Linked DNA regions of Xenopus tropicalis. The protein of the gene in region 1 purifies or fractionates together with the protein of each later gene. This does not show direct contact. Links are inferred from orthologs where the notes say so. Each region holds a gene or a part of one and is shown in the gene's direction. Other genes may lie near its edges.

Evidence for each region.
Region 2: the proteins of rpap2 (region 1) and rprd1a purify together in Homo sapiens (affinity purification with mass spectrometry; 3 studies listed by BioGRID and IntAct, with this or other methods). This does not show direct contact. The link is inferred for Xenopus tropicalis from reciprocal best matches to the Homo sapiens genes RPAP2 and RPRD1A.
Region 3: the proteins of rpap2 (region 1) and polr2d purify together in Homo sapiens (affinity purification with mass spectrometry; 5 studies listed by BioGRID and IntAct, counting the BioPlex papers as one, with this or other methods). This does not show direct contact. The link is inferred for Xenopus tropicalis from reciprocal best matches to the Homo sapiens genes RPAP2 and POLR2D.

The regions. Positions count from the first base shown.
Region 1 is NC_030680.2:104,520,072-104,523,727, reverse strand, and holds part of rpap2 (putative RNA polymerase II subunit B1 CTD phosphatase RPAP2), read left to right. Parts: intron 1-401; coding exon 402-1,263; intron 1,264-2,327; coding exon 2,328-2,422; intron 2,423-3,656.
Region 2 is NC_030682.2:67,024,883-67,028,638, reverse strand, and holds the start of rprd1a (regulation of nuclear pre-mRNA domain-containing protein 1A), read left to right. Parts: upstream 1-1,396; 5' UTR 1,397-1,752; coding exon 1,753-1,903; intron 1,904-3,756. UniProt on the Homo sapiens protein: Interacts with phosphorylated C-terminal heptapeptide repeat domain (CTD) of the largest RNA polymerase II subunit POLR2A, and participates in dephosphorylation of the CTD by RPAP2.
Region 3 is NC_030681.2:125,368,142-125,371,671, reverse strand, and holds the end of polr2d (DNA-directed RNA polymerase II subunit RPB4), read left to right. Parts: intron 1-1,310; coding exon 1,311-1,406; intron 1,407-2,640; coding exon 2,641-2,719; 3' UTR 2,720-2,918; downstream 2,919-3,530. UniProt on the Homo sapiens protein: Core component of RNA polymerase II (Pol II), a DNA-dependent RNA polymerase which synthesizes mRNA precursors and many functional non-coding RNAs using the four ribonucleoside triphosphates as substrates.

The DNA.
Region 1 (3,656 bases):
ACAATCTTATTTGGCTTATTGAATGTTTGAATGATTTTGTTATTAGTCCCGAGCATTCTGGATAACACCAGACAGTGGTATGAGAGAGTGGTATATAAATAGGAGAAGGGCTGAATAGAAAGGTAAGTAATAAAAAAGTAACAATAATTTAACTGTAAGCTCACAGAGCAATAGTTTGTGCCTGTTGGGGTCAGTGACCTCCATTTGAAAGCTTGAAGGATGTAGAAGTGGGAGGCAAATAATTTGAAAACTACAAAAAAGAAATAATGAAGCCAAGTTGCAAAGCTGCTAGTAATAGAACATTTTATAACATATTAAAAGTTACTATTAAGGTGAACAACCCCTTTAACATATGCAGAAAAAATGCATTCCTATTTTCACTTTACCTGTTTATATTCTAGTGGTCATTCTGGTATAGAGGTTAAATTATCTGAAAGATGCATCAAAGAGTCAGAGATCGAAAAACTTTCAACATTTACTGAGGAATATGATCCCAACTCTCCTGGCAGTGATAGCGATGGTCAAGGGGACAACGAGCAGGCCTTTGTTTCGTCAGTAATCTCAAGCAGCAATGATACCAAAAAAGTAGGAAAGAAGAATTCTATTAATTTGGAAAAGGCTCATAACCTAGCGCACAGCTTAACAGAAACAGTGGAAAGTTTGCATAAATGCAATTTAAGCGACCAAGAAATCATGTCAAACTCTAAAATACCGAACTGTCCAAAAAGTGTTGAAAGTTCACATAATGTACAAAGTAATTCAGAAATGTTGGGATTGACACACAGAGCTGTGAGCAAAAAAGGGGCAGAACAGCTTCGTAAAATACTGCGCAATTCTACACAGTATCAGACTGCTCTTAAAGAGGGTATTTCCCCTGGTGCTGCTAAGGGAGGTATGCTAGAGGTACTTACACAGACCTTAAATGAATGGAAAACTGAAGAAACCCTGAAATATTTGTTTGGTGCAAACTATGTGATCGATTCCTCATTTCATAAGAAAGACTCTGTAAGGAGTAGAGTTGAGGTTGAGGACCTGGATGAAGATGATTTAAGTTTCGATCCAAATAAAGTCAGCAGCTTGAATGAGTCTTTGCCTTTCCATGAAACGAGAAATCCAGCGAAAGTAGTGCCAGATTATGAAAAGCTAAAAGAGAAGGCATGTATGCAACAAATTAGGGTGAAAGATTTTTTTCATGGACATTACATTTTGCCAGAAGACATGGAATATAAAATAAATGAAGGAAAAGAGACTAGAAATAAAGAAGTAAGTGTAGATAAATGCTGATATTCGTGTTTTTGTTTTTATAAAGGGATATAAATTATTTCTACCACTTCTACCACTCTGTTGGCCAGATTTACCTTATCTTACTTATCGACCCTTTTATGGGACCCTCAGACTGACCTGCCTGACCAATATCTGGCCAAAAATCAATACAATTAAAGATTTAATCAATCCAATATCCATGGCCATATTTATATCCGAGGGCCTGTGCCTGGGACGTCTCTCAGGTGCCCATACAATAATTTTTTTTTTTCTTAAACTCTCCCTAGCCGCTAACAGAGAGATTCCCTTGTAAATCCAGCAGTTGAGCTAGGGTGGCACCAGACCTAAATACAGGTGGCCATACTGGGGAAAGATCCACTTGTTTGGCAACCTTGGGTCTATTTGTGTATGGCTACCTTAAAGGAAGTAATATGTGGTGACCCTTCAGCCCATTTTAGTCTGTTTGGACTAGCTTATATGTGACCCTAAACAGGTTGCAGGCAAATAGGTTTCAATTAATAGCCAATGACTTCTAAAAGAGTGCTTTCAGACAGTATATAAAAGAGCAGATTTCTAACCCATTATTTCCTGCTAGCAGCAAGAACAATAATCCTTCTGCACTAAAAAGTAGATGAACCACCGCACCTAAATTTGGTCTGTATCATACACAATTATTTCAAGCAGTTTTGGACACAGTGTTTTTAATTCTACAAACTCTGTTATAAAGTCCATGCACATATATTTTCATGTCTAGCTAGCTCCCATTGGTTGCAACTTAAAGAATCCGTTATAAAGGATTTGACTGAATACCGAACCCAAATGTTTACTTCCGCGTTTACGTGAAATGATTTTTAGGATTCGGTTCGTGCCAGGAACGTGGATTTGGTCGAATCTTGCTGAAAAAGGCCTAATCCCGAACCGAATCCTAGATTCGGTGCATCCCTATTAATATTACACTGTACCATTTAAAATAACACACATTAACCACTTGGTTCAGTATAAACAGATGCTTCTCGTATTTAGTACTGTAGTGCAAGCCTAACAATATTTTTATTTCTTTTTAGACTGATACCTTGTGGACCCCAGCCCTTCCTCTTGTAGATTCTTGCTCTCAGCAGCAAATCCGAAGACGAATTGTGCTTGAAAAGCTTAAAAAAGTGTACGTAAGGCTGTTGTGAGGGGATATATGTATAGAATATTCATTTGTAGATGTGTTACGTTGTTTCATTGGAACAGGTGAAATTGTCTTTATTGACACAGTCTTTATTTTAGTCCATAAAATGCACACAGAATCCCATCTATGTCCCATCAGTCAGACCTGTATTTTGCCTGCTACATTTTGTCTTAGTAAAATGCAGTGGCAAAACACACAAGATCACACTTAATTGCCAATTACCTCAAAATGCCAACCTAGGTAGCCATTTGTGCCTGAAAACCTTTTTTAATGGGCCCAATTCTAATAATTATCTATTGGTGGCTGGTTGACTATGGTAAGTTTAAAAGAGATTAGAACATTTGAAGAAAACATATTAAAGTAAACATTTGAAAGGTCCAGGACCGGATGGTATTTAGCACAGAGTTCATCTTTGTGACTGCTAAATCACTTAATTTTCAATTTTCCAGGATACAGGAGCTGGGCAGAAAATTAGCAAATTATGTTCACTGTTGGTTATGCACTTTGGTAGAAATATCCTCCTTTGATCCATGGGGTATTTGTATTCTGCCCATTTTTTTTCTCTCTTTTAAACTGTGGGTGAAGTCTTTATATTCACCTTTTGAGAAAATATTAGCAGATAACAGAACAACAACTTTATTTTTGGAAGGATTTACGATAATAAATAATACAGATTTATGGTAATAAATCATATTACAGGTATCGGACCCCTTATCCGGAAACCCGTTATCCACAAAGCTCCGAATTACGGAAAGCCCGTCTCCCATAGACTCCATTATAATCAAATAATTCAGAATTATAAAACTGATTTCCCTTTTCTATGTAGAAATAAAACGGTACCTTGGAATTGATCCCCACTAAGATATAAATAATCCTTATTGGATGCAAAACAATCCTATTGGGTTTAATTAATTTTTTATTGATTTTTTAGTAGACTTAAGGTGTTGAGATCCAAATTACGGAAAGACCCCTTATCCGGAATACCCTTGGTCCCGAGCATTCTGGATAATGGGTCCTATACCTGTAATAGGATTGTCTACTGTCCTGATTATGGATTACAGTCTATCTTTTTAATTTATTTTGATGGGTTGGTTATAATACTCAGAGTTCTGTGTTCTACTCTGTGTATATAGTCCTGCATGTTTGGTGTTTAAATCACTAGCTGGGAAAGTATAGTAGAAGGGCAAAAGGGGTTTTGGCTGGCAGATGGAGATTTGAC
Region 2 (3,756 bases), on another chromosome or scaffold:
AATTTTTGTAGTTAAATTTTGCCCATTATCCAAATGTTTGTAGGATCAAGCAGGCAGTTTTCTTAGATTCAACTAGACGATATCAATTGAAATTATAGTTTTCGTTAATGGGCAAATCGTACTTTTAAACTATTATTTTAAACTAGATAAGCTTGGTTCTACGATAATGAAAAGATTTTTCAAAAATCCAGCCAGCTTAAGTGAGACCAACTTTCAAGGAAATCAGGGATAATATCCTAGCTGGGTTAAATGTACTAGGCGACCTAGTACTATCAATAATGTAGCTCACTGCTGTCATCATGTTCAGTCTCCCATAAGGAAGCTGGGAAATCCGAGCTCCCTCTTGTTCAAACATTTGGTGCTTGCTGCTGGGGGAGCTACTGCCTAGTGCGGGTTGACCCAAAACCTGTGGGATCCATGGGTCAGAGGGTCTGGAATGGGTAAAGGCTTTGGAAGTTAGAGTCAGATCCAATTTGAGTTTTTCCTGAGCCGCACATCACTACCAAAGCCTTTTTCTCTAGTACTCTCGGGGATTCCCTGCACTGTCCTGGATAGGCAAATTCACAGTTTAGGCCTTTTTTTTTTTTTTTTGGAGACTTCTTTACTTGCTGCTGGCTAGAGCCTCTTGTTTCCAATCACATAATTCTGCAAGAATACTCCACAGTAATAAAACACTGCTTAAAAAGCTACTTATAAAAATGAACTTTTAGTTGGCATATTTTGTAACACTGCATTACCTTGTTTTATTGGGATCCACTGGACTACATTAGACAAGCAGTTAGGTACACCTCCATTAGCGAGGTACCATTCACAAATTACAAACAATAGGCTGGCTTTCTGTTTTTTTGCCTTCTTTCTCTCTCTTCAGTTCAAGTTTACTGAGTATACATATCAAATTACAGCTTGTACAGTTCACCATACAACCAACAAGGTATATAAACATCACTGTTGTAAAGAGAAACTGAAGAGAGTTAAAAGTTAAGTCATTTCAAATGCAGACCATTATTAAAAATGAGTTACGTTATTACAGTTGTAGGGAAACCTATCCTTGAAGAGGGTGTTTTCTTAGCCAGAGTGCAGGTAAGGTTTGGAAGCACACTACACTTGGAGCAGATTTATCAAATTGTAAGATTAGAACTCACCACAGAAAAATTCACCCTATGGTATTTTTATAAGTGTATTTAGCAAATTTAGCAAACTCTAACTTTAATTCGTTGATATGCTTCTAAAAAATCTCACAGGGATAAACAGAATGTGGATGAATTTTTATATGGAGAGCTGTAATCTTACATGTTTATAAACCTGCCCCTCCGTGCATATTGTTGTAACTCAGAGAGAGGAAGGAGCGACTGGAAGCGGCCGCAAGGCGGCACTACCAATGCTTGGAAGCAGCTAAAAGTATCATGGGTGTAGCAACATGGCTGCTCCGCATTCCTTAGACAATGTGGTTGACGAAATTCCGCTTTTCCTCGCCTCGGCTTCCTCTGAATGCTGAGTGGAACATAACTGTAAACAGAACACTGAATGTAAATGTTGTTCCTTAGCAGGGAGTATTTAGTAATATTTTAAGGTCACTAGTGGATGAAGGTGCCCTGTATCTTTGCTTGCGTTATCTAGGTGGGCCCAGTGAGGCGCCAGGGAAAAGCGCGGGGTGCGTAGCGAAAGCTCCGATCTCCCTAGTGGGAAAGTGGCTAGAGCCATATAGGGTAACTGGAACAGGCGCTGGTTGGAGACGAAGAGCGGTGGTGGGGGATGTCTGCTTTCTCAGAGGCGGCTTTGGAGAAGAAGCTATCGGAGCTGAGTAACTCCCAGCAAAGCGTGCAGACCCTGTCCCTGTGGCTCATCCACCATAGAAAACACTCACGGGTCATCGTCACCGTGTGGGACAGGGAGCTGCGGAAAGGTAAGGTAAGGCAAGCCAGGCAGCCTCAGTAATTGGAAACGCCAAGTTATAGGAGGGTAACGTAGAAGCGTTAGAACTGGATGTAACGTTGCATTTGTAGGAGATTGTTGCTGCTGTTACACAAATAGTATTTACATTCTAATGAAGATAGAAATGGCTGTGTGACGTCCCTCAAGCGACGCACATTGTAGCTCCGGACTGCGGCGTCTTACAGTCCCTCGAAGAGGCACCCTCGGGAAAGCAGATGTTCGGCAAATAAACAGGTTCCCTACTGAAGAAAATCGTTTCCCTACCTGCTTGTAATCTCTTTCTACAAATGGTGACGCTGGTCCTGCTTTTAATAGGAATATTCAACATTTGACCGGTGCGTTATTATCGGATTGTCGCAGAAAAAAAACAGGCCTTATTTTCAGTTGCGCGCAATGAAACCCACGCACAAAACTACACAAATTATGTTTATATGTATATTTTTCAGTGAGAAACAAAATTATCACTATAGGTATATGGGGAAAATCTGCTCAACAAAGGTGCCCAAGCACATGCGATAGTTGTTGTGTAACCAATATTACATATTATTGTAGCAAAGGGTGCAAAAGGGGTGTAGCAAATTATTGTAGCAAAGGGTGTGATAAACTTTTATTATCATCTGGCCACTTGTTGGGGTGGCACTGCTTTGGAAATAGTTGAAGGAGCTATGCTATGCTACTCAAATATGTGTTTTTTTTGTGTGTTTAACCTGCATTTAAAATGCATGTTTGGGCACACTTGTTTAAAATAGTTTTTTTCCAAAAATGCAACATGGTGCATTTTTATGCGCTCGACATTAAAATAGAGAGCTGCCTTTAGAAGAACACAGTATAACTATGTTGATGAAGTGCAAAATGCAATTTTGATTTGCATTTAGTCTCCTGTCCAAATGTGTTATAATAATTTTCAGTGGAAGTAAGAAAGGAAAAGGAAAATATTAAGTATTTGACAAAGACAATATTTTTGTATTACATATTTTATTGTGTGGGGATGGAACAAAAAAAACACATATCTAGCATAACCCTTACATGGTTAATGTGGCCATACACAGGCCGATTCTAGCTGCTGATATCAGTCCCTTAGACCGATTCAGCAGCTTATCGGGCCGTTTATGGGCACTAACGACGGGCCTGCCCGACTGACATCTGGCCTGAAATCGTCCAGATCTCGATCGGGCAGGTTTGAAATTTAGTCAGATTGGGAACCGCATCAGCTCATTGACGCAGTCCCTGAACCGACGGACGCCTATACCCCTCATTCTAATTTGATTGTTTTGCCCCAGGGCCAAACGTCCGAATTAGCACGATATCGCCCACCCGTAGGTGGGGATATTGGGAGAAGATCCACTCACTTGGCAACCTTGCCAAGCGAGCAGATCTTAGTGTGTATGGCCACCTTTAGAAACCTAAACCTCTAGATAATAAAATGCACAGGGGCCGTGGTGCTGCACTTGCATTAATTGTCATTTCTTTTTCCCAGAGTTCTTACGTAAATGCTTGGAATTACGACTGTCAAAATAACATAATGCACCAACCTGCTTTTTAAATGATCAAATTGCGAAGATTATGACACAAACTGCTGACTCATTATTGTTTTTTCCTTAAGTTTTGAGAATGAAGATGCATTACATTGCTTGATTTATTTCAGCTCATCTACAGAATATTCCTGTTGCACTAATCAAATGTGTGTTAAAGGACCAGTAACACCATAAATTGAAGGGTTTTGTTTTTTTCACTTTAAATTTGTCTGTCCATCCACATATAAATAAAATCAATCTTGGCCACATATGTCCTATTTATAAAGGTTTTCATTCTATAGTTCTGGAT
Region 3 (3,530 bases), on another chromosome or scaffold:
ACCCCACTGCTTTTTCTGAACAGTTAAGGCACCAAGTGCAGTTGTGCCATTTGGAAGGTGGGTTGGATTTCTCCCCGGGGGCTGCTAACTTGTATATATGATGTCTTCCTTAAAGAAAAACTGTACCCCCAGAATGAATACTTAACAATCAGTAGTGTGGGAGCAAAAGGCAGAACTGTGTCCATTCATTGGCTGATGGGGCCTAACATGTATGTGTGCCTTGGCTTGTTTGTGTGCACTGTGACTCCTATGATCCCGGGAGGCGGCCCTTAATTCTTAAAATGGCTATTTTCTATTTAGGATTACCCAATAGCACATACTACTAAAACCAAATATATTTTGAAGAAAATGGTTTTATTTAGATGAAGCAGGGTCTTACATATAAGATTGTTTATGCAGTCCTGATTTTTATGGTGTAATTTTTTATTTCTAAATTACACTGTTTACATAGCAAATAATTCACTCTACCATTTAAATGTTATTCTTGAACCAACAAATGTATTTTTTAGCTGTAATATTGGTGTGTAGGCGCCATCTCAGTGCATTGTGCCTGAGTCTGAGCTTTCAGAAGGAGCCAGTGCTACACATTAGAACTGCTTTCAGGTAACCTATTGTTTCTCCTACTCCCATGTAACCGGAGGAGTCCCAAGCCGGACTTGGATTTCTTACTATTGAGTGTCTATGAAGATTTTCATTCATCCAGGTCATGGTATATCTAGTATAAATAAATTTAAAGCAACTGGACTTGTTTAGTAATCATTGAAGACGTTTCACTACTCATCCGAGCAGCTTCTTCAGTTCAACTGACTGGTATGGGAAGTCCTCAGCATATATACTCTTCCACTAATCCAATCACAATGGCACTTTGTAACTCTTCAGAAAGGTGACATCTGAAACTCACAGAGGTGTGCTATTCTGATATTTACTGGGAGCTGCTATCTTGCTCCCTTCCCATTATTCTACTGATCGGCTGCTGGGGGGTGGGGTGGGGTAGAAGCTATAACTGCCAGGTTGAACAGGGACAGTCAGGTTTAGGAACTTCAGTTACTTGAAAAAGCAAATGATCAGCATGGCCTATGGGTAACTTAATGTACATTAATATTTTAAAAAATAATTTTTTAGTGTCACTATCACTTTAAGCTAAGGAAGGAGATTGGCCAAATGTTGACCTGCAGAAGGGAGTATGATTAGTCTTGTAAGGCTGGTTTAAAGTTCAAATTGTCATATTTTGTACTGGTTCAGGGAGCAGCAGTAACATTACCTCTCTTGGAATGACCTGTGTAACCTGTGTTCCTCTGTGTCCTTGCAAGCTTGCTGTTACAGAAGAAGCTGCATCGCTTTGAGCTAGCCTGTTTGGCCAATCTGTGCCCAGAGACAGCAGATGAGGCTAAAGCCTTGATCCCAAGGTAAATCAAAAGTACAAATTCACCAGAATATGCTCCTCATATTACTTATTTAAAAAATCCAGTTCCTCTCTGTGTTCTTACACATTCTAGCAGAAATTCTCCTTTAATGCCCCTTTTTATCCCCCACTTTTCTAACTCAGCTCAACTTGTCCTAGAACTCCTTCCATCCCATACAGACGGCAATACTAATCCAATATCTTACCTGCTTTCTCTTCTTGTTTAATCCTCAATGCATTTCATTTCCCATAACGGAACAAGGAAAAGTTGAATCACTGAAGGTGCCAAATTATCCAGACTGTAGCACCTCTTTAAAATAAAAAAAGGACCAGCCTTGGGTACTTGGCCAGTGAGTGCCACTGTCTTTTTACATATTCCATCTGTTCCTTGTGTGGGATCCTGCAAATGCACAGTATGTTAGCGCTTTGTTGTGCATGCTGCCCATGCCTGTACAGGGAATAGCTAAAGAAATATGAAGGCGCAGCTCTCCCCAGCCATTTACCCTTGGCTAGAGGCCCAGATTTACACCTCCCAGTGATTTACAGAAACTGTAAACCTTACAAAAAAAAAAAAATTACACAATTGCTCAAAGTGGACATATTCTTGATGGTATTAGTGTCAGAAAACCAGCAGGTGGCGCTGTTGTTAAAAAAATTCATATTAGTTTAAAAACCGCTTCTAATCTTGGGGGGGAAATGTAAATTGCTTAAGTGCTCTAGGCACAATTTTACTTTTTTTTTTTTTTTGGAAGGTTTACATTTTTTAATCCATCTTGTGTGGTTGGGCATTCCCACCCGGTTTTTATACTTGTTTATTTACTTTTGTAACTCTCTGGTGCTTCCAAGGGTAACTGCATATGGGGCCTTCTTAGTGATTTGTTTGAGCAGCCCAAAACTTATTTGCCAAAATGCTGAACCCATTGCTATTAAAATTGCCTGACCTGCATTGGCACTGTGTTCTCCCTATGGTATTTTGGCTGGGCACTTCACTGGCAATTCTGCTCTTCCCCCAGGTCACTTGTAGTAGAATACTATTCTCCTGTAAGATCAGTTTTATTCTTCCTCGTGAGGTGGAAAAATCCCGCTTTTTTTCCCTGGGGAGAAAACTGTATAGGCAATATTACTGGGCTGTGTAAAAATGTGATGCTCAAAGTGCCTTTAAAGCATCGTGTAAAGTGTTGGCAGTATCATAATGTTATTTCTTTTGGGTAACGCCTTTTTCTTTCTCTCCCTTTAAGTCTGGAAGGGAGGTTTGAGGAAGAGGAGCTGCAACAGATCCTGGATGATATTCAGACCAAGCGAAGCTTCCAGTACTAAAGAGGAAAGTGTCCTCCTCCCTGATAGGCCATTTGTTCTGATGAACTCCTGGAATCCTCGATGATGCCAGTCGCCCCATATCCATTGCCGTCTTTGTACCAGAGACTCTCCTTTTTTTAGGATTATTTGCTCAGTGGCTTTTCACTGCTTTTGATTTTGTGAATCTCTTTTATTGTTAATAAATATTTTGTTTCTAAAATACGTTTTCCGTTTGTTTTACCAACAATTTTCACAAAATGTTAAAACGTGGGCATGGCTATTGTGTACAATCTTTATGAGAATAAGCTGTACCCACAACATTTTTACAGACATTTTTTATGCCAAAATGTCTCCTCCATAACGAAAATGTTAGGCAAAATTAACCTATCGACAATGTTTCCTAAGTCTGTATAAATGTTTTGGCACACAAATGACATTTTCATACACATACTGTGTATATGACACTTTTTAAAATTTGGCACCAATACAACAAATCCATAAAACTATAAGATACCTTTTATGCTCACAACATTTTTATAATTTGGTGACTGACACTTTGAGAAATGTGTACTTACCGACACTTTTGTGAATTCCCCCCACTGAGTCAGAATACATTGAGTGTGAACAGACAGATTAGTCACTGTGATTAATCGCCCCATCTATCTATTGCGGTCTATCCTGACCGCAATAATTTTTGGTCCTAGGGGCCAAGGGATTCAGGGAGATACTGATAAAAATAGTGATTTGAGTACTGAGGTAATAGTAGGCATGTTGGTTGCACTGAAGATGCTCACCTTCCAAACACTTTTTGAGTATTTTGATAATATTGAAG